Linked DNA regions of Macaca mulatta. The protein of the gene in region 4 binds, or shares a complex with, the protein of the main gene of each other region. Links are inferred from orthologs where the notes say so. Each region holds a gene or a part of one and is shown on either strand. Other genes may lie near its edges. The genes, in order: PPP4C, PPP4R1, PPP4R3A, PPP4R2, PPP4R4 and PPP4R3B.

The links.
Region 1: PPP4R2 (region 4) and PPP4C share a complex: the UniProt entries of both Homo sapiens proteins name them as parts of the PP4 complex. The link is inferred for Macaca mulatta from reciprocal best matches to the Homo sapiens genes PPP4R2 and PPP4C.
Region 2: PPP4R2 (region 4) and PPP4R1 share a complex: the UniProt entries of both Homo sapiens proteins name them as parts of the PP4 complex. The link is inferred for Macaca mulatta from reciprocal best matches to the Homo sapiens genes PPP4R2 and PPP4R1.
Region 3: PPP4R2 (region 4) and PPP4R3A share a complex: the UniProt entries of both Homo sapiens proteins name them as parts of the PP4 complex. The link is inferred for Macaca mulatta from reciprocal best matches to the Homo sapiens genes PPP4R2 and PPP4R3A.
Region 5: PPP4R2 (region 4) and PPP4R4 share a complex: the UniProt entries of both Homo sapiens proteins name them as parts of the PP4 complex. The link is inferred for Macaca mulatta from reciprocal best matches to the Homo sapiens genes PPP4R2 and PPP4R4.
Region 6: PPP4R2 (region 4) and PPP4R3B share a complex: the UniProt entries of both Homo sapiens proteins name them as parts of the PP4 complex. The link is inferred for Macaca mulatta from reciprocal best matches to the Homo sapiens genes PPP4R2 and PPP4R3B.

Annotation. Positions count from the first base shown.
Region 1 is NC_133425.1:28,485,439-28,489,524, forward strand, and holds the start of PPP4C (serine/threonine-protein phosphatase 4 catalytic subunit), read right to left. Parts: upstream 2,801-4,086; 5' UTR 2,762-2,800; intron 2,540-2,761; 5' UTR 2,477-2,539; coding exon 2,379-2,476; intron 1-2,378. UniProt on the Homo sapiens protein: Protein phosphatase that is involved in many processes such as microtubule organization at centrosomes, maturation of spliceosomal snRNPs, apoptosis, DNA repair, tumor necrosis factor (TNF)-alpha signaling, activation of c-Jun N-terminal kinase MAPK8, regulation of histone acetylation, DNA damage checkpoint signaling, NF-kappa-B activation and cell migration.
Region 2 is NC_133423.1:80,509,600-80,513,016, forward strand, and holds part of PPP4R1 (serine/threonine-protein phosphatase 4 regulatory subunit 1), read right to left. Parts: intron 650-3,417; coding exon 529-649; intron 441-528; coding exon 306-440; intron 1-305. UniProt on the Homo sapiens protein: Regulatory subunit of serine/threonine-protein phosphatase 4. May play a role in regulation of cell division in renal glomeruli. The PPP4C-PPP4R1 PP4 complex may play a role in dephosphorylation and regulation of HDAC3.
Region 3 is NC_133412.1:164,713,020-164,716,278, forward strand, and holds part of PPP4R3A (serine/threonine-protein phosphatase 4 regulatory subunit 3A), read right to left. Parts: intron 2,060-3,259; coding exon 1,917-2,059; intron 1,431-1,916; coding exon 1,240-1,430; intron 790-1,239; coding exon 563-789; intron 1-562. UniProt on the Homo sapiens protein: Regulatory subunit of serine/threonine-protein phosphatase 4. May regulate the activity of PPP4C at centrosomal microtubule organizing centers.
Region 4 is NC_133407.1:136,556,174-136,559,499, reverse strand, and holds the end of PPP4R2 (serine/threonine-protein phosphatase 4 regulatory subunit 2), read right to left. Parts: intron 2,834-3,326; coding exon 2,544-2,833; intron 2,289-2,543; coding exon 1,963-2,288; 3' UTR 501-1,962; downstream 1-500. UniProt on the Homo sapiens protein: Regulatory subunit of serine/threonine-protein phosphatase 4 (PP4). May regulate the activity of PPP4C at centrosomal microtubule organizing centers.
Region 5 is NC_133412.1:167,449,268-167,453,512, forward strand, and holds the start of PPP4R4 (serine/threonine-protein phosphatase 4 regulatory subunit 4), read left to right. Parts: upstream 1-1,445; 5' UTR 1,446-1,589; coding exon 1,590-1,706; intron 1,707-3,172; coding exon 3,173-3,246; intron 3,247-4,245. UniProt on the Homo sapiens protein: Putative regulatory subunit of serine/threonine-protein phosphatase 4.
Region 6 is NC_133418.1:69,049,252-69,052,751, reverse strand, and holds part of PPP4R3B (serine/threonine-protein phosphatase 4 regulatory subunit 3B), read right to left. Parts: intron 2,975-3,500; coding exon 2,879-2,974; intron 1,672-2,878; coding exon 1,630-1,671; intron 1-1,629. UniProt on the Homo sapiens protein: Regulatory subunit of serine/threonine-protein phosphatase 4 (PP4). May regulate the activity of PPP4C at centrosomal microtubule organizing centers.

The DNA.
Region 1 (4,086 bases), on a different chromosome or scaffold from region 4:
TACCCGGACTCTCAACTGCATGTCATTATCATTTCAAAAAATCAGAAAGTGACTTGACAAGGGTCATATTGTTTCTAGGTGACAAGGCAAAGATTCATACTGAAGACCACCTGATTCAAAAGCTCAGCTCTTCTGTGCTAGTATTTCTAGGAGCAGCAATTTCAGCTCAGACACTGCGGACCTCTGTGTTTCCACGGGTTTCACCTGCATCTCTGTGCCCTCTGGGCAAGCTGGTGCTCTTGACACTACCAGCCTCAGCCTGGGTCTCTGTTGGGTCCCCAGGAGGCCATAACCAGGTATCAGAGCTGGCCCTGCTTCAGACTGAGCCTTGGCCTAGTACCTCCTAGTTTCACTCAGTTTCAACTGGGCAGGACCCTCCACCCCTCAGTCTTCCATGGCTCCCTGCTGCCTCACACCACACATCAAAACCTAAATGCCTCTGCCTGGTTCTCAGTGACCACGGAGCACAGTCAAAGACCTGGATGCAAAACTAACTTCCCCTCCGACTAGCTGCGTGAGTTGGACAAGACATTATCTACTCAGAGGCTCAGTTTCCTCTGCTATGAAATGGGGCTAAATACTCAGCCCGCCCTGCCTATTCCTTAGGCTGTTGCAAGGAGCCATGGAGACTGAATACATAACTTCCTGCTAGTCTGCAAACTCCAGCATGCTATCCAAGCTTTGCCTACCATCACCACCACGCTGATTCAGGGCCTGTGACGGAGATAAGACTTCAGGGTTAAAGAACAGAGCCACGCAATAACAGGTATAAGTTCCTAAAAATGCCAATCAGGACTGAGGGAGAGGGAAAAACTAAAAACACCGTGGGGCTAGTCTGGTCAGGGACATTTTCTTGAGCTGGCAAAAGAGAAAAGCCACAGACAGGTGGTGAAAAAGAGGCCGACCCTGCTCAACATCCCCTCACAGGCCCTGTCTGGCTGCAGGGAGTCTATGTGAGGCAGGGCCAAGCAAAGAGCCTGAGGGCCACAGATTCAGGACCCAGCTCTGCCACGTCCTCAGTGGGTGACCTCAGTCAAGTCACCAGACCTCTACAAGTCATGGCTTCCTGTGTGATAAAATGGAACAAATGATTCCAACCTCACAGGATTGCTGGGGGGAAGAGATGGACAAAAGTTTTTTTACCAGTACAGGGCCAGGCCAACAGTGGCCCTATAAAGGCCAATGTTTATTGTTCAATAAACATAGGGTAATTCTGCGGGTTCTTCTGCCACAATTCTCCAGCCTGGTAGAAGCCACAATCACACAGTGCCCCAGAGGAGGCAGGTAATAATTAAACCCCTGACTGTTCCCCATACATCTCAGGGCCTCCACTGTTACATTCGTTCTGCTTGGAATGCCCTTCCCTCACTGGCCCTGCCTCCATCAGCTAGCCAAATTATCTTCATCCTTCAAGGCCTACCTCCACTCAAAAGCCTTCCCTGATGGCTTTAACCCATCTCATTATTGCCCTCTTCCAAGAGAAATAGAATACCTGGTGATTATCAAGCACGTATGCTGTACCAAGACACTGTGCTAACCTCATCTCAAGCACCAACTCACTGAACCTTCACAACCATCTTATTAAGTACTATTAACTCCGCTTTACAAATAAAGACACCTTAAGATCACTAACACAGCTAGAAAGTGGCAGAGTTCAGATTCAAACCTAGAGCCATCTCACACTGCAAAACCCAGAGCCTTAACCACTGCTTCATCCTACTTCCCACAGAACTCTGAACTGGCCTCCCTCCCTATCATGCTTAATTTTACCCTAGCTTACTTGCTACGATTTCTCAGGCTCCCACCCTGAACGTGAGTAATCCAACTCCACACCTTTTTGCATTATGGCCTGAAAAAGGACGGGACACTAAGAGCTGGCTTCCGATCCTCATTCCCTACTTGTGGGTAACTTTTAACATGAAAGTTCTCACCTGTAAAATGAGTACAATACCACCAACCTTTAAGGGTTGTTGTAATTAAAGGACTTTTATAAATCACAGGGTCTTTAACTTTCCTGTCTTAAATCTTTGATTTTTGGCTCTTTTACCACCTCCTTATTCGAGGACTGTCCCACAGTTCGGCCCCCCTCCAACAAGCTTCCGACCCCCGACAGATGGACTTGTTTTCTTGAGTTTCCTAAGTACTTTACGTAACATTCTTACTCTACTGGAAACACATCGTCTAATACTTTAAGTGTCTTTATCCGCTCTGTCTTCCCCGAGCAGGCTAGATTTTCCTCGAGGGCAGCGGTTCCATCCTGCTCCTCTCTGGGAAAGCTTCCAGGGCGAGGCAAGCCCAAAGTTCTCAGTTGGGTTTGCCCCAGGACAGAACCCGTGGGCGGCGGCTTGGCCTCCCTTCCCCAGGGCCAATGGGCTCACCTGGCTTTAGCGCACAGGGCCTTGACTTCGCTCTCCTTGATGAGCTCGCAGCGACGCAGCTGCTCGATCTGCCGGTCCAGGTCGCTGATCTCCGCCATGGCCCACCCCCGGCGCGGGTCAGAGTCGGGGCCGCCGCCCCCTCCGCACCGCACAGGGGTCTCCTGGGAAAGGCCAAGACGAGCCCGCGGATCAGAGTGTCCGTGCGGGGCGCGGGGCGGACAACTCGATTCTAGAGCCGGCCCGGCTCCCCCACCCCCGCCTCCCCTCACATCGGCCTTAGGACCCCCCAGCGTCCCACGGCGCGGCCGCAACCCCGCTAACTCCCGTCGAACCCCGCGGTCCCGCGCTAAGGACGGTGACTTAGAGGAGTCTGGCAATATTACCGCCGCTGCGACTCCGGTTCCGGCTCTCCGGCTCCCTGCCTCCCTCTTTCACTCCGCTTTGGGCCGCAGCCACCGCCGCCGCCGCTTCTACTTCCGGCCCCGCCGCGGAAGCAAAGGGAAGCCAGTTCCGCCGCGCGCCGGATGTGGCGTCATACACGCTCCTCTCCCTCCTTCGCAGCGACCGCTGCACCACTTCCCCAACCGCAGATGGGGAAGAAGCTGGAGGATCCCGGTGGCGGCCAGGGGCAGTTTTGTGGGCTCTGTTGCTGGGCGATGTGGAGGCTGTTAGAAACCCTAGAACAGTCACCTCCCCTTTCATTTTATACAAATGTTTTAACAGCTTTCTTTCTTTCTTTTTGAGGCGGAGTTTTGCTCTTGCCCAGGCGGGAGTGCAATGGCACGATCTCGGCTCACCGCAACCTCCGCCTCCCGGGTTCAAGCAATCCTCCTGCCTCAACCTCCTTAGTAGCTGGGGTTACAGGCATGCGCCACCACGCCGGGCTAATTTTGTATTTTTAACAGAGACGTGGTTTCTTCTTGTTGGTCAGACTGGTCTCGAACTGCGTACCTCAGGTGATCCGCCCCCGCCCCCCCTTCGCCTCCCAAAGTGCTGGGATTACAGCCGTTAGGCACCGCGCCCGGCCACAACTTACTTTTTTTTTTTTTTTTTTTTGAGACAGAGTCTCCTCTGTCGCCCAGGCTGGAGTGCAGTGGCCGGATCTCAGCTCACTGCAAGCTCCGCCTTCCGGGTTCACGCCATTCTCCGGCCTCAGCCTCCCGAGTAGCTGGGACTACAGGCGCCCACCACCTCGCCCGGCTAATTTTTTGCATTTTTTAGTAGAGACGGGGTTTCACCGTGTTAGCCAGGATGGTCTCGATCTCCTGACCTCGTGATCCACCCGTCTCGGCCTCCCAAAGTGCTGGGATTACAGGCTTGAGCCACCGCGCCCGGCAACTTTCTTTTTCCTAAATTAGAGACAGGGTCTCTCTCTGTCGCTCAGGCTGGAGTCCGTGGGGCTATCATAACTCACTGTCACTTCGAACCCCTGGGCTCAAACCATCCTCCTGCCTCGGGCCTCCCAAAGTGCTGGGATTACAGGTGTGAGCCACCGCACCCGGCCATCCTCCATTTCAGCTAGGGAAACAAGCAGAGCTGGGGCTAGGCTTTGTAACTTTATTGCACTTTTTAAAAAATGTTACATATTTTTGTTATTTTGTTAGCCTTCCCCACCACAATCCTTGGAGGATCCAACTTTGTCTTTTTAAGTATTGCAGCCCCAGTGGTTAGAATAAGGCCTGGCACCGTAGGCATACATAAATACTTG
Region 2 (3,417 bases), on a different chromosome or scaffold from region 4:
GTCTGAATGTGTGTAGAGCAGAACACGCACATTCCAGGCATGTGGTGTGTGGTGTGGAACATGCATGTACAGCAGGCACGTGGGGTGTGTGTGGTGCGTGCCAGTGAAGAAGGGGCTTGGCTGGCTGGGAGGGAGGGGCCAGCAGATGCCCAACAATGGGGACAGGTGATCCTAGAAACAGCCAGGCTACCGTAAGGTTCTGTTTCTTAAGAATAAGGAAGAGGATGAGAGAGAGGTAGGAAGTCAAAGAAGACATTCTTCTAGGAGAAAAACTCACAAACAGGTAAGCCCAGGGCCTCGCTTACCTGGCAGACAAAGACAAAGGCTTGCCGACCAGACCACTTGGGACATCTGCCAAAGTTCTCCACAAGTTCATTGATGAGGTCCACTCCGAACGTTGGTGGTGTTGCCGCGTGCAGCTTCTTCACCATCTCGCTGACCTGGGAGGGTGAGTGTGAAGTGAGGAACAGCTTCCAATCTAGGATCTTAGAGTTTACTGGTCTAAAATTTTAAAAGTTCAATACATACCAACTTGTAGGAAATCCAACGAACAGAAGAAACCTTGTCTGCACACAGATTCAGAGCAATGGGACGTAAATAGTCATAAACATCTCTGGGACTATATAACTCTAGAAGTAAAATCAGCTGTCTACAAAAAGGAATTACAAAAAGATAATGTTTAAAAATCGGCGAGACAAATGAAAACAGGTTCTCATTTAAATAATCTGCAATACTGGATTACGGAGCACCTGTCTCAAACACATGCAAAGAGGAGCGACTAAGCGGACCTCTCCTGTCCAGTTACCTCCAGTCTCTGCATCTGGAAACGCACTTACATGCTATTCAAGTTCCGTAGAGTGTAAGGAAAACAAAAGCCGTAGAGCTCTGCATCCATGGGAACTGAGAAAGCAAAGCACTTCCTAGTATGTTCAACTGGAACGTGGCCCACACTGATCCATGGTTACAGTGTGGAACGTGCTGAGAAGCTTCCATCTACAATCAAGTTTCTCAGTAAGAAGTTCCCGCAGGGGCAGGTAGTCTGCTGTGTACCTGTCGGGGCTCTGAGGAGCCTTCCTGGAAGGGACTCGCTAGGGATAACAGAGGGAGGGTGTCCTCCAGCGACCTTCCCATCACATCTGAGGGGCCCTGAGACTTTCATGACATCCACCAAGCTAACCTGAAGGCTTCAATGATGCCCTTGAAGAAATACCTTGGATGTGAGACTTTTGCCTTTCAGATTTTATGTTCGAGATGATTTACATTTCTAATAAGCAGGAAGTCAACTGTAACATGAACGTAGATTATGCAGTCATGACAATGCACCTGTGCATACAAACATACATCCTCAAACAGACACACGTACTTTTTGACAAAGTTCAAAATCAGAATTCCAAATAGGACATCAGTTTCTGCTTAGAATACAGAAAACTGCAAGAATGTCACTGACCCTACAGTAGAAAAAGCTATATAAACTTCAAGATCTTTTCTTGAGCCCATCAGAGAGCTGGGGTTGCAAAGCACCCAAACAGCCTAACTTTCCCCCTCAGCAGAGCCCGGAGGGACAGGGCACCTGCCAGCACATAACAGGGTGGGGAGAAATCAGCTCGAATTGTAGCCAGCTGCCCAGGGCCAGATGGTGGCTGGCACGAGCATGGAGTGGCTCAAGCAAAGCCATATGTGCCCGACACAGGGAGCTCACATCCCCAGGCAACCTTCTGACCTTCTGACTTCCACAGGGTGCCTGCCTCCCATGGGTGCTTCAAGAAAGACAGTCAGGAGAAACAGGAGCGGTGTCTCATAGCAGGCAGAAGCGGCTGACGGACAGCCATGAATCACCAAGCACTCTACTGGGCCCTTCACTCACACAAAGCAAAAGGCTTAACCTGCTGGTGGAGGGGCCCAAAGCCTGTCTACCCTGTGGGCCAGCAAAAACGCTGCAACTGGGGGAGAGGAGAACTAACGCTCCTTATTCTAGGAGGAGCTGCAGGAAGTCCTGCCCGAGACCAAGCACAGACAGGAGGCCCCACCCATTACACAGGGGTGCAGGTATAGCTCAAGCCTGGGTGGAATACTCGCACTACAAGACCACTGGTGCCCCAGCTCCCACCCTCAGCAAACGGCAACGGTAGTGGCAGCCCACAGTGAGGAAAACTGAAGCCCCAAATACACTGAAGGTAACCACAGCAATGACAAAACGCAAGCCCAGCTTGATCCTGACTAGCTGGACTCACATCCCGGCACTACATAGCGGAAGAGGAGGCGTGCATTTCGAGTCAGAAGTGGGAAAGCCAGAACTCAATGGAGAGGCATTTTTAATACACTGAAAGACAAACTGTCAGCCCCACATCCCATACTCAGCAAAGACGTCATCTGAAAATACACGTGAGGTGTATGATCCGGAATATATAAATAGCTCTTACAACTCAACAACACAACTTAAGATAAACAACCCAATTTAAAAATGTGCAAGAGACTTGGATAGACATTTCTCCACAAAATATACACAAATGGTTAACAGGCTTATGAAAAAGTGTTCAACATCATTAGTCATTAGGGAAATGTGAATCATACCACAACGAGGTGCTGTTCCACACCCATCAGAACAGCTATCAATGATAAGCGAGTGATGGATATGCTAATTGCCCTTATCTAACCACTATCCAATATGTATTGCAACATCATTACATACCTTATAAATATGCACAATTATTATTTGGCCAATTTAGAAATATTTTTAAAATTTAATAGGAAAATAGGTGTTAGTGAGGACATACAGAAATTGGAACTCCCATACGTTGCTGATGGGAATGTAAAATGGTACAGCTGTTGTAGAAAAGTGTGGCAGTTCCTCAATGAATTAAACACAGAATTACCATATGGCCTTGCAAATCCACCTCAAAATAACTGAAAACAGATTTCAAGGATTAAATCTTGTACATAAACGTTCCTAGCAGCACTATTCACAAAAGACCACACACCCAACCCAAATGTTCCTCAACAGATGAATGCACTAAATGAATGTGGTATATCCATACAATGGAATATTTACTCAACCACAAAAAGGGAGGCAAGTTCAGCTAGAGGATACAATATGGAGGGACAACTGAAAGCATTGTTAGATGAAGAAACCAAGCACAAAAGGCCACATGTGGTATGATTCCACTTGCATGACATGTCCACAATAGGCAAATCCATAGATAGTAAGTAGATGCTTATTGGACATGCATTTTTCTTTTCAGGAGGTTAACATTTTAGAACTAGAGGGAATGGTTCCACAACATTGTGAATGTACTAAATGTCATCAATAGCAAATTTGGCTATGTGTATTTCACCATGATAAAAATAATATAAAAATGAACTAAAGACATTTTCAGGAAAAAAAAAAAAAAGTTGAGGAAATTCACTGACAGTAAGACA
Region 3 (3,259 bases), on a different chromosome or scaffold from region 4:
TTTCACTGTGTTAGCCAAAATTGTCTTGATCTCCTGACCTTGTGACCCACCCGCCTCGGCCTCCCAAAGTGCTGGGCCCTTGTGAGCCACAGCGCCTGGCCTTGTTCTTTTCTTATATGAAATGTTAGTGACAGTAGATGTTTAAGTTTTCTTAAAAAAATAAACCATAACTGGCAAAGTAAAGTCAGAAGTATCCAGATATTTAGATTATTATTTCCCCACAAAGGCTTTATCTCGGTATTAGGAAAATTTATTCGAGAATAACTGAAAACCTTAAACATTTCTGTGAATGTTCTGACATACAAATTTGAAGTTGCAGTTCTAAAATGCAAAATACCCAAGTGAGAATTCACACTATATTCAGACTTTTGCATTGGTCATAAAAAGACTTTCAGAAATTTCTCAACATTTATATAAGTTCAAGTGGTGGGGGGGACTCATCCTCTAGTTCGCGAATGTTAAATCAGTTCTAGGTGGCAGTAACCAAAGGGAATCTTAGTAAAAATTGTTGAGAAAGCTTAAATTGGAAAAAAAGGGGGCAAAATGGGAGTCAAAAATGTACCTTTGTAGTAATAGCTGCCGTCTGAGATGTATTTTTAGGTACGGATCCAGGAGAGCCTGGAGATCCTGGGGATCCAGGTGATCCCGGAGAACCAGGCAGATTTGTTGTAGATGACTGGCTGGTGAGGTTAGTCTTCGTTCCACTGGACAGGGAAAGCTTGAAACTTGGGCTCTGCCGTCCAGAAAGATTTGTTTTCAGAAGCACTTCCTTTTCCTCACTTTCTTTTACTAAAAATGAGAATACTGTCAATAGTTGTCCCCCATACTCATTCTTTTTTAAATTTCCCCAAATGAGGTAACACTAAAATACATTTAACCAGCTTACTCCACTGGGTAGAAACACTGAAGTTCAATTTATAAATGAAGCTTACCAAAACACTAAACAAAATTCCATTCATTGGATCTTACTCCAGAGAAGAAGTGAAACCTTCAGAATCATATTCAGTATCGCTACCCTTCCTGAAATAGTATATTCCTTATTCAACTCAAATTAAGAAAACTTAGTCTCTGCCTGCACAACACTGCTATTCAGTCACATCCCATAAAGCAATGGAGTCTTTAAAACCTATGCCATCACACATTCCAAGCAAATATTAACTAATCATTTTGTCAAGAAATAAGAATAAATCTAGAGTGAGAAAGCCTTAATTTTCTCTTGGCCATTTTTTTCCCACATACATTTCTTCCTTTCCATGAATTTACTTATTGGATCCATAATATCATCATCATTTTTAGTTTTGTCAGATGGAGACACTACAGCTTCCCCATCTTCCATGTCATCTTCATCTGTGTTAAACCACATCTCTTCTTCATCTTCTAGTGTTCTGGCATCTCTTCGATATCTATGATTCCTCAAAATGGAACGCATACTACGAGCAGAGAAGAAAGAGTAAATACAATCATATATGGACTTAATTGTACTGTTACAGATGACTTATTAAATTAACATAGGGAATTAACAAGAAATTTACAAATATTAAAATATCAATGTAAATCCAGGTAGATTAATGTACAAAATTTTAAAGAATAATTTGTAACTTTAGTAACTTGTAAATTTAAAGCAAGTAATATAATGCTCTGATTTTATTTTGAACACATGAAGCCTCACTGCCACTGTTTGGTCTTTTTGTTTTTTTTTCATTATCTAGCTTGATACATGCCTAAGGTATTATACTAACAACCAGCTAAATCTTCAGGGAAACATTTATGCTGACCCTTACAGGAAGCTACAATTTCTATTTGCTATCTGCTGATTTGCCAGTTCCTTGTCAAGCCAAATAATATCAAATAAACAATAAAGCCACTACCACACAACTTGATGTTGAACGAATATGTTTAAATGTATGGTCATTTACCTGTCAAGTTTGGGATTATCTTGCCTTTCTCTTTGTTGTTCAAATCTCAGTTTTAATCCTTTAAATGTCTGTACATAATCTACATCTTCCAGTGCTTTCCAGTAATTTTCAATTACATGAGCAGTTAATGATTTTATATCTTCCTACAGAAAAGAATAGCAATGAAAAAATGATAGGAAAATGTCATTTTAGCAAGATGAGGCTTAATTTAATAAATTCATACCCACCAAAAGTAGCTTAATTTCATAAAATTACATAATCTTAGAGATAGCCAAACAATAAAAAATGGGAATAACATATATTGGCTACTAAAATAGTCCCCAATTTATCTATGGGTCTTTTTTTTTCTTTTTAGATGGAGTTTTGCTCTTGTTGCCCAGGCTGGAGTGCGATGGTGTGATCTCGGCTCACTGCAACCTCTGCCTCCTGGATTCAAGCGATTCTCCTGCCTCAGCCTCCCGAGTAGCTGGGATTACAGGCATGCACCACTATGCCTGGCTAATTTTGTATTTTTAGTAGAGATGGGGTTTCTCCATGCTGGTCAGGCTGGTCTCAAACTCCTGACCCCAGGTGATCCACCTGCCTCTGCCTCCCAAAGTGCTAGGATTACAGGTGTGAGCCATTGCGCCCAGCTATCTATGGGTCTTTGGGTCTTTATCTATGGTCTATGGGTCTTTACAAAGTAAATGCCCAGGTCTTGCCCTAGGTGATTCTGATTCTGATGTGTGCGCTGGGTATGTGTATTTTATTTTTTTAAGAGATGGGGTCTCGCTCTGGCACCCAGGTTGAGATATAGTGGTATGATCATAGCTCACTGCAGCCTTGAACTCCTGGGCTCAAGCAATCCTCCCGCCTCAGCCTCCCGAGCAGCTAGGACTATAGACATGCACCACCATACAGGGCTAAGTTTTAAAGAAAAAATTTTGTAGAGATGGGGTCTTTATATGTTGCCCGAGTTAGTCTCTAACTCCTGGCCTCAAGCAATCCTCCCACCTTGGCCTACCAAAGTGCTAGGATTACAGGCATAAGCCACTATCCCTGGCCATGGACATTTGTTTTACTAATCAATTTTTATTTTAGGTTCAGGGGTCCATGTGTGTATTTGTTATATGGGTAAACTGCCTGTCACAGGGGTTTGGTGTATAGGTTATTTCATCACCCAGGTAGTAAGCACAGTACCCAATAGGTAGTTTTTCAATGCTCACCTTCTCCCACTCTCTACCCTCAAGTGGCCCTGGTATCTGCTGTTATTCCCTTCTTTACTTCCATGTGTACTCAAAGTTTAGTTCCCACTTCCAAGTGAGCACACACAGTAGCCATGCATATTTTAAAAGCATGTCACA
Region 4 (3,326 bases):
GCACTACAATTAAAATAAAAAATATCAAAGGTCACAGGATCTTAGGTAGGTTTACTGACAATTTCATAAATATTCAAAAGAAAATCTCAAAATTTCTAAACTTAAATTTGCTTCATTGTAACATTTTTGAAAAAATTTTTAAAAATTTACATGTTTAATTTTTCTCCCCTCTTGGATATAGTAAATCAATATTCAGATTTTAACTATTAGACATAGTCATAAATATATCATCTAGCTGTTGTGAACTTGACAGTCAAGTCAGTCAGTAGTATACTATCCTACAAACATAAATGGATCCAAATAGTTTTGGTATTTATAGTCATGACGATTTAAGTAGTCAAAACGCAAAACTTGTGGTTGCCCCCCAAATCACCCAAAAGCATATGATACAGTGTCAGAAACTGTTTGCATCAGTTTTAGAAGCCCATCTGTGTATTTCAGGTATCTGAAACTTAAAAAAAGGGGATTCTTCCATATTTTGATAAAAATGTACTCGAATATTTCATAACATTAATATTTATTGCTTTATATGAATACTGTATTGAAAGCCCAAGCATTCAGTTTACACACAGAAATTATACAATTATATACCGCTTCACAAAGGCAGTGAACACATTACATTCTACAAAATCTACTTTACAGAAATTTAAAAACTCTAAATATCAAAAGGTACAGTTGAAGAAACAGGTATAAATTTGGCAGCCAGTAATTTTGACAGGGAAGTTGCAGTTTGCATGACTTTAAATATGTAAATTTGAAAATATTGAATTTAGAGTAATCATTGTGCTTTGTGTTGATCTGAAAAATATAACACTGGCTGTCGAAGAAGCATGTTCAAAAATATTTAATTCACTCCAAAATGTCATACAAATTATGGTGGTTTCTATGCACCCCTAAAGCTTCAGTCATTTAGCTCAGGTACATACTAAAGTAATATATTAATTCTTCCAGTACAGTGGTGTTCCATACCATTGACATTTGCATACTCTAGAATAATTTAGAAAGACACGTGTAATATTCACAATGTTCAGAAAAGCAAGCAAAAGGTCAAGGAACCTGCTTGGTTCTTCTGAGATGGTCTCATATCAGCTTCATAAACATTCATTCTACAAAATAGTAAGCTAACATTTGAACACAATTTCCAAGATAAAGCATATTTTCTCATAAATAATGAAGTCTTTTTCTCAGGCACCTCAGAAGTATACAAAAGAATTTGAGTTTGAACAGATCTCTTGGAATGTGTTTAACCTGGTATTTCAACAGACTTAAGATTTCCAGGGTTTCACAAGGGCCAGATTTTATTTCAATTACTCAGAAGAGAAAGAAAATGTCTTCTGAAAGAGGTGAACTCAATCATTACCAATAGAAAAAGTATCCACTGTATTCATCTCTTATAGAAACAGAAAAATATAACATTTCCCCCCTTAGAATAATATATATATATGTATGTATATATGACTTAAAGTTCCATAGTACGTAGCCAAACAATAAAATCTGGAAACCAGCATGAAACCCTATAATTCACATGTTAAAATGTTGAAACTATGACCAAAATATGAAAACTGCTAGAGCTATCAGAAAGAGACAAGACAAAAAGCTTCTTGCATATGTATAAACTAAAAGTGATAATCTCAAAAAACTTTTCAAAATTATAATTACCTTCCAGTTTAAAAACTTTAATCCTAAATTAAAAAAAAAAAAAAATCTATACACAAACCACTGATTTGCCCAGACCAAAAAAAAGAAAGAAAGAAAAGTCAGCGGTAAGGTAAGCAGGACCCAGAGGAGCTGATATTCACAGTTCTTACATGTACAACTCTTTCAGGAATTATCCATAAAGTACTTTATTTTACAACCTGCTTCTCTTGTAAAACTAAAGGTCCACTTTATTACATAAAAGTTTTATACAGTGTTAAAACCAGAACTGTATGTAAAATACTGCATCTAAATGTTTCTAAATAGTTAGTCTTGTTCCATTGGTTCATCGGTGACTTCTGTGGCTTCATCATCATTTTCCATGGATGATTCTGAAAGAATCTCTCCAGTTTTACTGGAATTGGATCCTACTAATTCTTCTGTTTCACGGCAGTCAGAAGAACCACTACTTACAGGGCCTTCGTTTTCACCACCTTCAGAATGTAGTAAATCTTTCTCAGCTTGAGACACATCAGATTCCTCCATTTGATTATTTTCCTCAGAAGTCTCTTCATTCACAGTTAAGGCATCATCAGATTCTTTTTCTTGATTTTTTCTTTCTGGGATCATTTCTCTTGATGTCATAAAAGACTCTAAAAATAAGCAAATGTTGTTGTAGTTAAATTTTATTTTCAAAATACCTCCACAGTTAAGTTTCATGAATTCTGATATTCTATAGTTCAAATCACATCCCCTGAAATTCAGCAGCAACTACATACAGGTGGGAGAAAAGCCCAACATCAGCATTATAAGGAGTTCCATTATGTAAAATTCTTTCACGAAAAAAATGAAGTACAAGAATTTGAGGATCTCCTTACTCCACCCTTTTACAGATGGTCTCTAAATACCTTCTTCTTCCTCTTCATCCTCTTCTTCATCCTCTTCTGTACAGTGCTGCCGGGTACAACGGCTTTCTTTGTCTTTATCCTGAGATGAAGATGATGCTTCTGTTTCTTCTACCATAACTGAAGAAATTTCACTGGAAGTTGTCTGACTGGCTGTTTCTCTGACTTCACTTTCTTTGTCAAACCTGAGTCTTTTTACCTCATGCCCCTCAGCTTCCACAGCATCTTCATCTGGATGTTTATTTTTCAAAGGGCTAACTGAGGAAACTTGTGATTCAGATGTCGAAGAGTCACTGTAAATGTTTTTTTAAAGTGTCATTAATAAGATTATTTTCCCCATCTTCTACATCCCCATTTTTAAGGTTAAATAATGTTTTAAATTGTATTTTAGTGTCAAAGTTAAATTGTAACACCTGAGCAAAGAAAAACACAAGAGAATAATTTCAAGGTAACCTAAACCGTTTGATGAATAATTCCCAGGTGGACTCAGAAAAGCTGTATGACCTTTCTGTGCAATTCTCCAGTAAGTTAAATATTCTCCTACAATAAACCCACAAGTCTTCCATACACACATACTCTCTAAGTCCTCTCCCTCAATTAGTCTTCCTTCCCTTAAAATGATACAGAAAATTTGAAGATAAAAATAAAAGGTGTCCTTTTATGAACTACAGTGAGAAACGATTCACAAAACCAATTTATTTATAAAGATCTTTTCTCTTTTCAAGTAACTTTCAGAAATAACAAATAAAATGGATCATATCTACTTTACTTTTAGACCCTACATAA
Region 5 (4,245 bases), on a different chromosome or scaffold from region 4:
TGCCATTGGTGGGTGTGAATGGCAAAGCCATCTGGAGGGCAACATGACAGAGTGAAACCAAATACTGTGGACTTCATGACCCAGGGACTCGATTTCTTATGTTCTGTAAGGGACACGTCTAACACCCATTCCAGCATAGTCTGTGGTAGCAAGGACCTGCTGGCGACCTAATTGTCCGTTATTTGAGGAATTGATAAGTAGAATATGATAGACACACAAATCAAATACTATTATTAGTCATAAATAATGAACTCTGGTTGTATAGTGTCACATGGATAGATCTCTAAGACACTGAGAGGAAAACAAGGAACAGAATGAGTTCTTATCACAATGCCGTTCACGTATGTTAAAAACAGACACAAACCATGTATCTTTTGAGGCTGTATAAGGTGCATGAACTGGGACATACCTTAGTAGAGGAGAGGGTGTATATGGCGGGTAGAAGAATGGGTGTGGAGAAGGAACGAGTGGAAAATAAAAACGAAAAAGAAAAGGGCCTTACTGACTGACTGACGAGCTGGAGTACGAACATAACTTGTCCCTAAGGTCCAAAAAAACCTCCCCAATTCCCCTTCCATCTCGTCCCATTCTTAACAGAACCAAGTGCAAGGGACTCAGCGTGACTGTCCAGAGCAGGGCTTCTCTTCACCAACGACCTAGGTCCTCTTCCCTCTACCCACCTCGCCAAGCCCTCGGTGCCCGAGCCCCGAGCTCTACTTTGACGGCACTTCTCAAACACAACCAAACACACCCAGGCTTCAACCCCAGACGGGCTTGCTTTTATTATTTCTTTTGGGAAAGCTAAGATTCAGTTTAAGTGACTCTTCTCCGGGAGGCCTTTTCCGAATGCTGCCCTTGCCCAAAAGCCAGCCCCTCCAGGGCTGTATTCCCACAGCCCCCTCCCCCGTCAGCCCGGCACCCCGCGTTCTAACTGCTTATTTTGGGCACTCAGCGCTCCCCTTAGGGCTGGAGTTGTGTTAGGGGGGTCTCTGGGTTCGCGACCCGCCAGCTGGGGTGGGCGGTCCTGGGAATAACCGGACACTTAGTTAAGTCAGCAGGTGCAGCCGCAACCCAGCCAGCTCACTCTCCTCTGCTTCCGCTCTCATTGGCTCAGCCTCCCCGCCCCCAGGCCCCGCCCCCAGCCCGCCTCAGCCGGCTGCTGGAGGCAAAAGGCTCTGCGCACGCGCCGTGGGGTGGGGCGCCCTTGGTTGGGGGCGGACGGGGGTTTAGGAGGACAGCGAGGAACGGGCGCAGAGGGGTGGCGGGGCCGCCGCGTCGTTGCGCGGCAGTTGCGTCCTGCCTCGTGCGCGCGGCACCCGGGAGGGGGCGGGGCCGAGGTGGGCAAGGTGGCGGGCCACCGCCCCTGGCCCCGCCCCCACAGCCCGCCCGCGCGCCTCGCCCCGCCCCCTCGCCGGGCCCGCCCCGCCCCCTCGCCGGGCCGTGCTCTTGCTCCCGCCGCCCGCCAGCCTCACGCTAGGCTCCGGCGGCCAAGAGCGGGAGAAAGTCCTGCTGGTGGGCGGCCGCGGGGCTGAGCGCGTCCGGCATCCCGGGGCCGCTCCGGCCCGGGCGGCGAGGGTGCCCGGCGGTCCATGCATCCGCCGCCGTCCGCCGCCGCGATGGATTTCAGTCAGAACAGCCTGTTCGGCTACATGGAGGACCTGCAGGAGCTCACCATCATCGAGAGGCCGGTCCGCCGGAGCCTCAAGGTGCGCCCCGGGGAGAGGACCTGCCCTCAGGGCGTCCGGCCGCCTGCCCCGCGCTGATCTCCGCCCCACCCCACCACCCTCCCCTCCTTCGGGCCGCCGGGACCCTCTCGGACCGGCCCCTCCGTCCTCCTCCAGCCCCTGTTGCCGTGCCGCCCTAAGCCAGCTCCTCCCGGACCCTTCCTCAGCGCGGACCCAGTCCTCTCTAGTCTGGATCCCCATCCGCAAGGGACGGGTCCCTGCCCCAGCCCCGACCCGGCGCCAGCCCCGCGGCCCTTGCCCCTTCTGAGGCGTCCGAATCCCCCCGGCTCACCCCCAGGAACGGCCGAGCCCCAGCCCTCGGGGCAGCCCCAGCGTCCTCAGTCGCGGACCCCCTTCCTTCCGCCCCCCGCCCCACCCCGCGGGAGCTGCCCCTCGAGGCCGCAGCCCACCTCTACCCGGTCCTCTCCTGGGCTCCCCAACCTCTGGTCCGCTGACGCCGCCCGGGTTCTGGCCCCAGGCCCACCCCTCGGTCCACACATTCCCGACTCCTCCCCCCACCTCTCCCCGAGACACCACCCAGCGTCCCGTCCGCTCACCCCCAGCCCACCAAGTCAGATCAAGCTCGGGTCCCTCTGCCCTCGAGGCAGCCCGGCCTCCTCTCGCTTCCCAGCCAGCACCCTTTCTCAGTGTGGTCCTGGTCCCCGTCTACAAGCCCTCGCGACCCTTTGCCGCCCTCCTGAGTCACCGCGCATCCTTTCCTCCCAACCCCTCCAGGACTCTAGCTGGGACCCTGCTCCCCAATCCCTTGAGGGAGTCAACCTTCAGCTTGCTCCCCCCACCCCCACCGGCTCTCCCACCCCGCAGAGTCATCTTCCTCCCAGAGGCTCCAACCTTTAGCGCCAGCAAACCTAGTTTACGGACAGGACCCCTTTCCCCTGGCCATCGCTTAATTAGCTGCTTTAGCTCCTCTCACTCCCACCTGCCGCAATATCTCAAATCTCTGGTTTCTTCCAGCCCCAGAGTTGATTTCCTTCCCTCCCCCACTCCAGATCTTGTCCTTTTCATGCCTGCTCGGCTGCAGTGTTCATCCATCCCCCTTTTAGCATTTCTTGGGGTGGAAAATGCTGGAGAAATAGCCGTGAGGTATTAGAGATAAAAGTGTGTGTATTTATTCGTTTTATAACATGCGTATGAAATGGATTTCAGCCAAGGTTCTGAAGCCACGATGCGATTTTCAAGCTGCAATCCAGAAGCTAGAAGGATAAAAACAGAAAAAAAACAGTCCCCTCCCCAAATTCGACCACCCAATTAGAGACTTCCGTGATTGATGTCGCCTGGTATCCTCAGCTCCTTGATTAGTTTTCATTGTTAATGCTTAATTGTGAAACTTTTTCATTCGTTTATCCTCATAGAGGGTCACTGGGAGGTTGGGAGGCAAGACTGACCCAATGTTTGTGGTGCATAAATGTGTATTTTACCCTTGACAGACACCAGAAGAAATAGAAAGATTGACAGTCGATGAAGACCTCAGTGATATTGAAAGGGCTGTTTATCTGCTCAGGTATTTCCTAGTCTTTCTGTGAAATTGCTCTTTTTTTTCCCCCTGTGGCAGCAGAGATCAATGCTTTCTAAAATGTATGTTCCCGTTATGTTCAGATTTACTTAGCCACTTGAACAGAGTACTTTTGTGTGCATAGTACTTAACTATATTATACATTAGATTTGGCTGTGGACTTATGAATTTGAGAATTTAAATAAAACACCTAATTTATAGAATGTTGCTTGGAGGAGGAAGAGCAGATGGTTTGAGTTGAACCTCATCCTTTTTTTCTTTTCTGGCATTGGTTTTTCTCACTTAAGATTCAGTAAGTTTAGATGAGACTTGAGTATACAAGGATTAGTTTTAAGTTCATTGTAGAGTAGGCACATTATATGGGATCTACTATATGGAAAAAAATCCACAAATATGGTAGTTCATTTTGCTGTTCAGGATATCCTGTTTGTAGTACTTTTGCTATGCAAGCTTTATGATTTTGTCTGAGGGGTTTTGGAAACTTAGTTGATTTCAAACCATTTCACAGGCTCTACAGAATTGCTTAAGGCAAATGGTTACTGCGAATATTTACAAGATTTTTCTGAACTATTTAAAACATTGTCTTGTAGATTGAGCATCTTAAAAACTAGTACAGTGACCATTAATGATGTTTTAATTGATTAAAATCCTTTAGAAACAAATTTCCTACAGCATTTTGTGTATATTTAAAATTTTTCATTAGCTTACACAACATATTTTTCCCTTTTGGCAAATTAGTCACTCTTATTTTCCAGAATCAGATTTTGAAAACTGATGTAATTTACCTCCTAGGATATTTGTCATCCTTGTTTCCTTAGCTCAGTGCCAGTTCCAGGTACTGGCAAGTTTCTTGTTCTCCTTTCTTGTTTACAGATCATGTTTCCAGTCCCATGTTATTCATTGAATGATCCTGTAAAAACAAACAAACAAACAAACAAAAACTCCCTCTCCAGGTCTTCAATTTTCTTAATTACTTTTTTTAGCCTA
Region 6 (3,500 bases), on a different chromosome or scaffold from region 4:
TGGCTAGACAAGGAAATATTAAGCTGTAAGGAAATTATAAAATCACAGTCTTACAGAATTTTTAAAAAAATGACATCATCTAGTACAACTATTTTATTTACTTGAGATTATATACATAAATATTTTGGGGAACTACAATGCTATTGGGAATAAATTAGCATTCTTTCTAATAACAGAATGACCATCACACATAAATACACAAAATAAAATTCTGATATTTCAAGGATTGTTTCTACTTTAAATGCAAGTAAAGAGTTTCACTTGCTCCAGACCAATTTCTATAACAGCCAGTACTACAGCCAAAATTTGAACTAGTCCCTCACCATTAAAGGCAATTCCTGGCCAGGTGCGGTGGCTCATGCCTGTAATCCCAGCACTTTGGGAGGCCAAGGTGGGTGGATCGCCTGAGGTCAGGAGTTTGAGACCAGTCTGGCCAACATGGTGAAACCCCGTCTCTACTAAAAATACAAAAAAAATTAGGTGGGCGTGGTGGCATGCACCTGTAATCCTAGCTACTTGGGAGGCTGAGGTGGGAGATTGCTTGGACCCAGGATGTGGAGGCTGCAGTGAGCCGAAATCATGCCACTGCACTCTAGCCTGGGTGACAGAGTGAGACTCTGTCTCAAACAAACAAACAAAAAAAAGCAATTCTTCTTTATTTCTCAATTCCCAAATTTTATTACAAAAGATTTTTTAAACTTGACCCTCAATGCTGTATGTGGAAATTAAATTGAAAAAACAAAAACAGGCCAGGCGCAGTGGCTCACACCTCTAATCCCAGCACTTTGGGAGGCCGAGGCAGGTAGATCACGAGGTCAGGAGATCAAGACCACCCTGGCTAACACGGTGAAACCCCATCTCTACTAAAAATACAAAGTTGGGAGGCTGAGGCAGAAGAATCGCTTGAACTTGGGAGGCGGAAGTTGCAGTGAGCCAAGATTGTGCCACTGCACTCCAGCCTGGGCGACAGAGTTAGACTCCATCTCAAAACAAAACAAACAAAAAAAAACAAACAAAATAAAAACAATGACCTACAGTGTTAAACAAATCTCTTGTCTTCATCTTTATAACTGGGACAAGAAATTACTCATATCTCTAAATAGTCCAATCTCTGAACAGCCTCCTTATTTGAAACTGGCTCCCCTTTGAGATTTGATGAGGCTGGCAGAAAAGGCATGGGACACTAGGTGTACACAGCACATGTCTTTATTAGTATCAAGCCCATACCTAGTATGCCTGTTCTAAATAGGAACAACTACTTTTTGACTCAGATTCATGAACAATAAGCATAAAGTGGTCATGAAAGTTAGTTGCAAAGTAACTGGTCTTAGTTACTACATTTCAAAAATAAGAACTAAATCCTCGACTTTCAGACAATGCCTTCTCATAACAACGTCAGAAAACAAGCTATACATTTTCAGGGAAAAAACAACAGAATTCAACTAGTTTTCTATTTTTAATACTGGAGATAGTGGAATTTTTTCTTTACAATACAGACAAAAATAAATTTTTGGATTTTGTTTTTATGCCAAAATATGCTTTTCTTAGCCTTATATAAGTGCATTACACTTAAAGTAGAAAAAAAGTTTATAATTTGCATGTATTCGTAAAGTATGAATTTATACTTACCAGGGCAAATTGTGTTGTTTTTGTTTGATCCAACTATATTATCTAATAAAAAAATTAAAAATTAAAATCAAATACTTCAGTAATAATATCCCACCTTTCCCTAGTACTTTATAATATACAATGCATGACTTCAATCATAATTTCATTTTACCCTCAAAATAACCATTAAGACTTAGTTGCTTTGGCCGGGCGCGGTGGCTCAAGCCTGTAATCCCAGCACTTTGGGAGGCCGAGACGGGCGGATCACGAGGTCAGGAGATCGAGACCATCCTGGCTAACACAGTGAAACCCCGTCTCTACTAAAAAATACAAAAAACTAGCCGGGCGCAGTGGCGGGCGCCTGTAGTCCCAGGTACTCAGGAGGCTGAGGCAGGAGAATGGCGTGAACCCAGGAGGCGGAGCTTGCAGTGAGCTGAGATCCGGCCACTGCACTCCAGCCTGGGTGGCAGAGCGAGACTCCGTCTCAAAAAAAAAAAAAAAAAGACTTAGTTGCTTCAGCAAAATTATAACTATATCTGCAATCTTTTACAAAAGTGGATGTAGCTATAGAATTATTAAAAGACAACATAGCATATATATTCTGATAAAAAGTAAGATTACAACCAGGGATAAAACCAACATATCTTCTTTTACCTTCTCCTATTCATCATTCAACAATTAGGATATTTCTCTTCATCTCATTTTTGTTTTTTTAATTTTAATTTTTTAAAATAATATTTGCATTTGATCATCCATTATTCATCTCATTTTTAAAAACAGAAAATACAGGAATTTTTAAAACTCCAGAATAATAAATGTGTTTATGCTTTAAATTTAAAAAACAAAAAACTCAATTAAGTAGGCCATTATAAATAAGTTCCAATTTCTAGGCATACATTCTAGAGCACATCAAGGCACATGTGCATAGGGAAACACAAGAATGTAACTGGAGCATTATTTGTAATAGCAAAAAGCTAGAAACAAATGCACATTAGAGGCAGAATGGCTCTATTACAGCATACTCATAAGAGAGGATTATGTAGGAGTTAAAATTAAATAAGAACTCTATTTCAATATGAATTAGATCAATATGAACAGGTATCAATACGAACAGATCTCAAAAATAACACTGGATAAAAAATATGCAGAATAATACGTATGACAGACATTAAATTTATAGCAACTTTGAAAATATGAAAAATAATACCGTATATACACATCATAACAATATAAGTAAACACAGGAGTGATAAACTCCAAATTCAGCATACCTTGAGAGATGGAGGAAGAGGGGGTAGAATGGGAATGGGAATGTGAAGGGGTACATACGAAACTCCAACTATATCTGTAATGTTTTAAAAAAAAATCTGAAAAAAAATATGGCAAGTTAGTTTTGATAAAGCCAACAGGGAGTATATGAGTGTCTGTTATACTATTATCTATATATTTCTGTAAGCCGGAAGTGTTTTATTAAAATGAACATAAAAAATGCATTATTTTTATTTATATAAATGGAACCATTCTGCAAGAAAACTCTCTGTGATGTGCTTTTGTACCCATTCACCTTGATATTTTGGGGAATTATTCAGTTGATACATCAAAATTCAATTATTTTAACTGCTATATAGTATTCCATTATTTGAAAAAAACATATTTTATTCATTTTCCTACCACAAACAATGCAGCAACATTCTTGTACCTGTCATGCATATGCACAAACATTCCCTAGAGTATATACTCAGAAATGGAACTGATAGTATTACACAGGGTGTGCTCATGTTTCAACTTACTAGTTTCATAAAATTCTCCTAACTAACTTCCTTTTAAGTGACTCTTCAGGTTAACAAATATTTTCAGATAGTGGCTAATGTTCTATTATGCTCCACATATTTC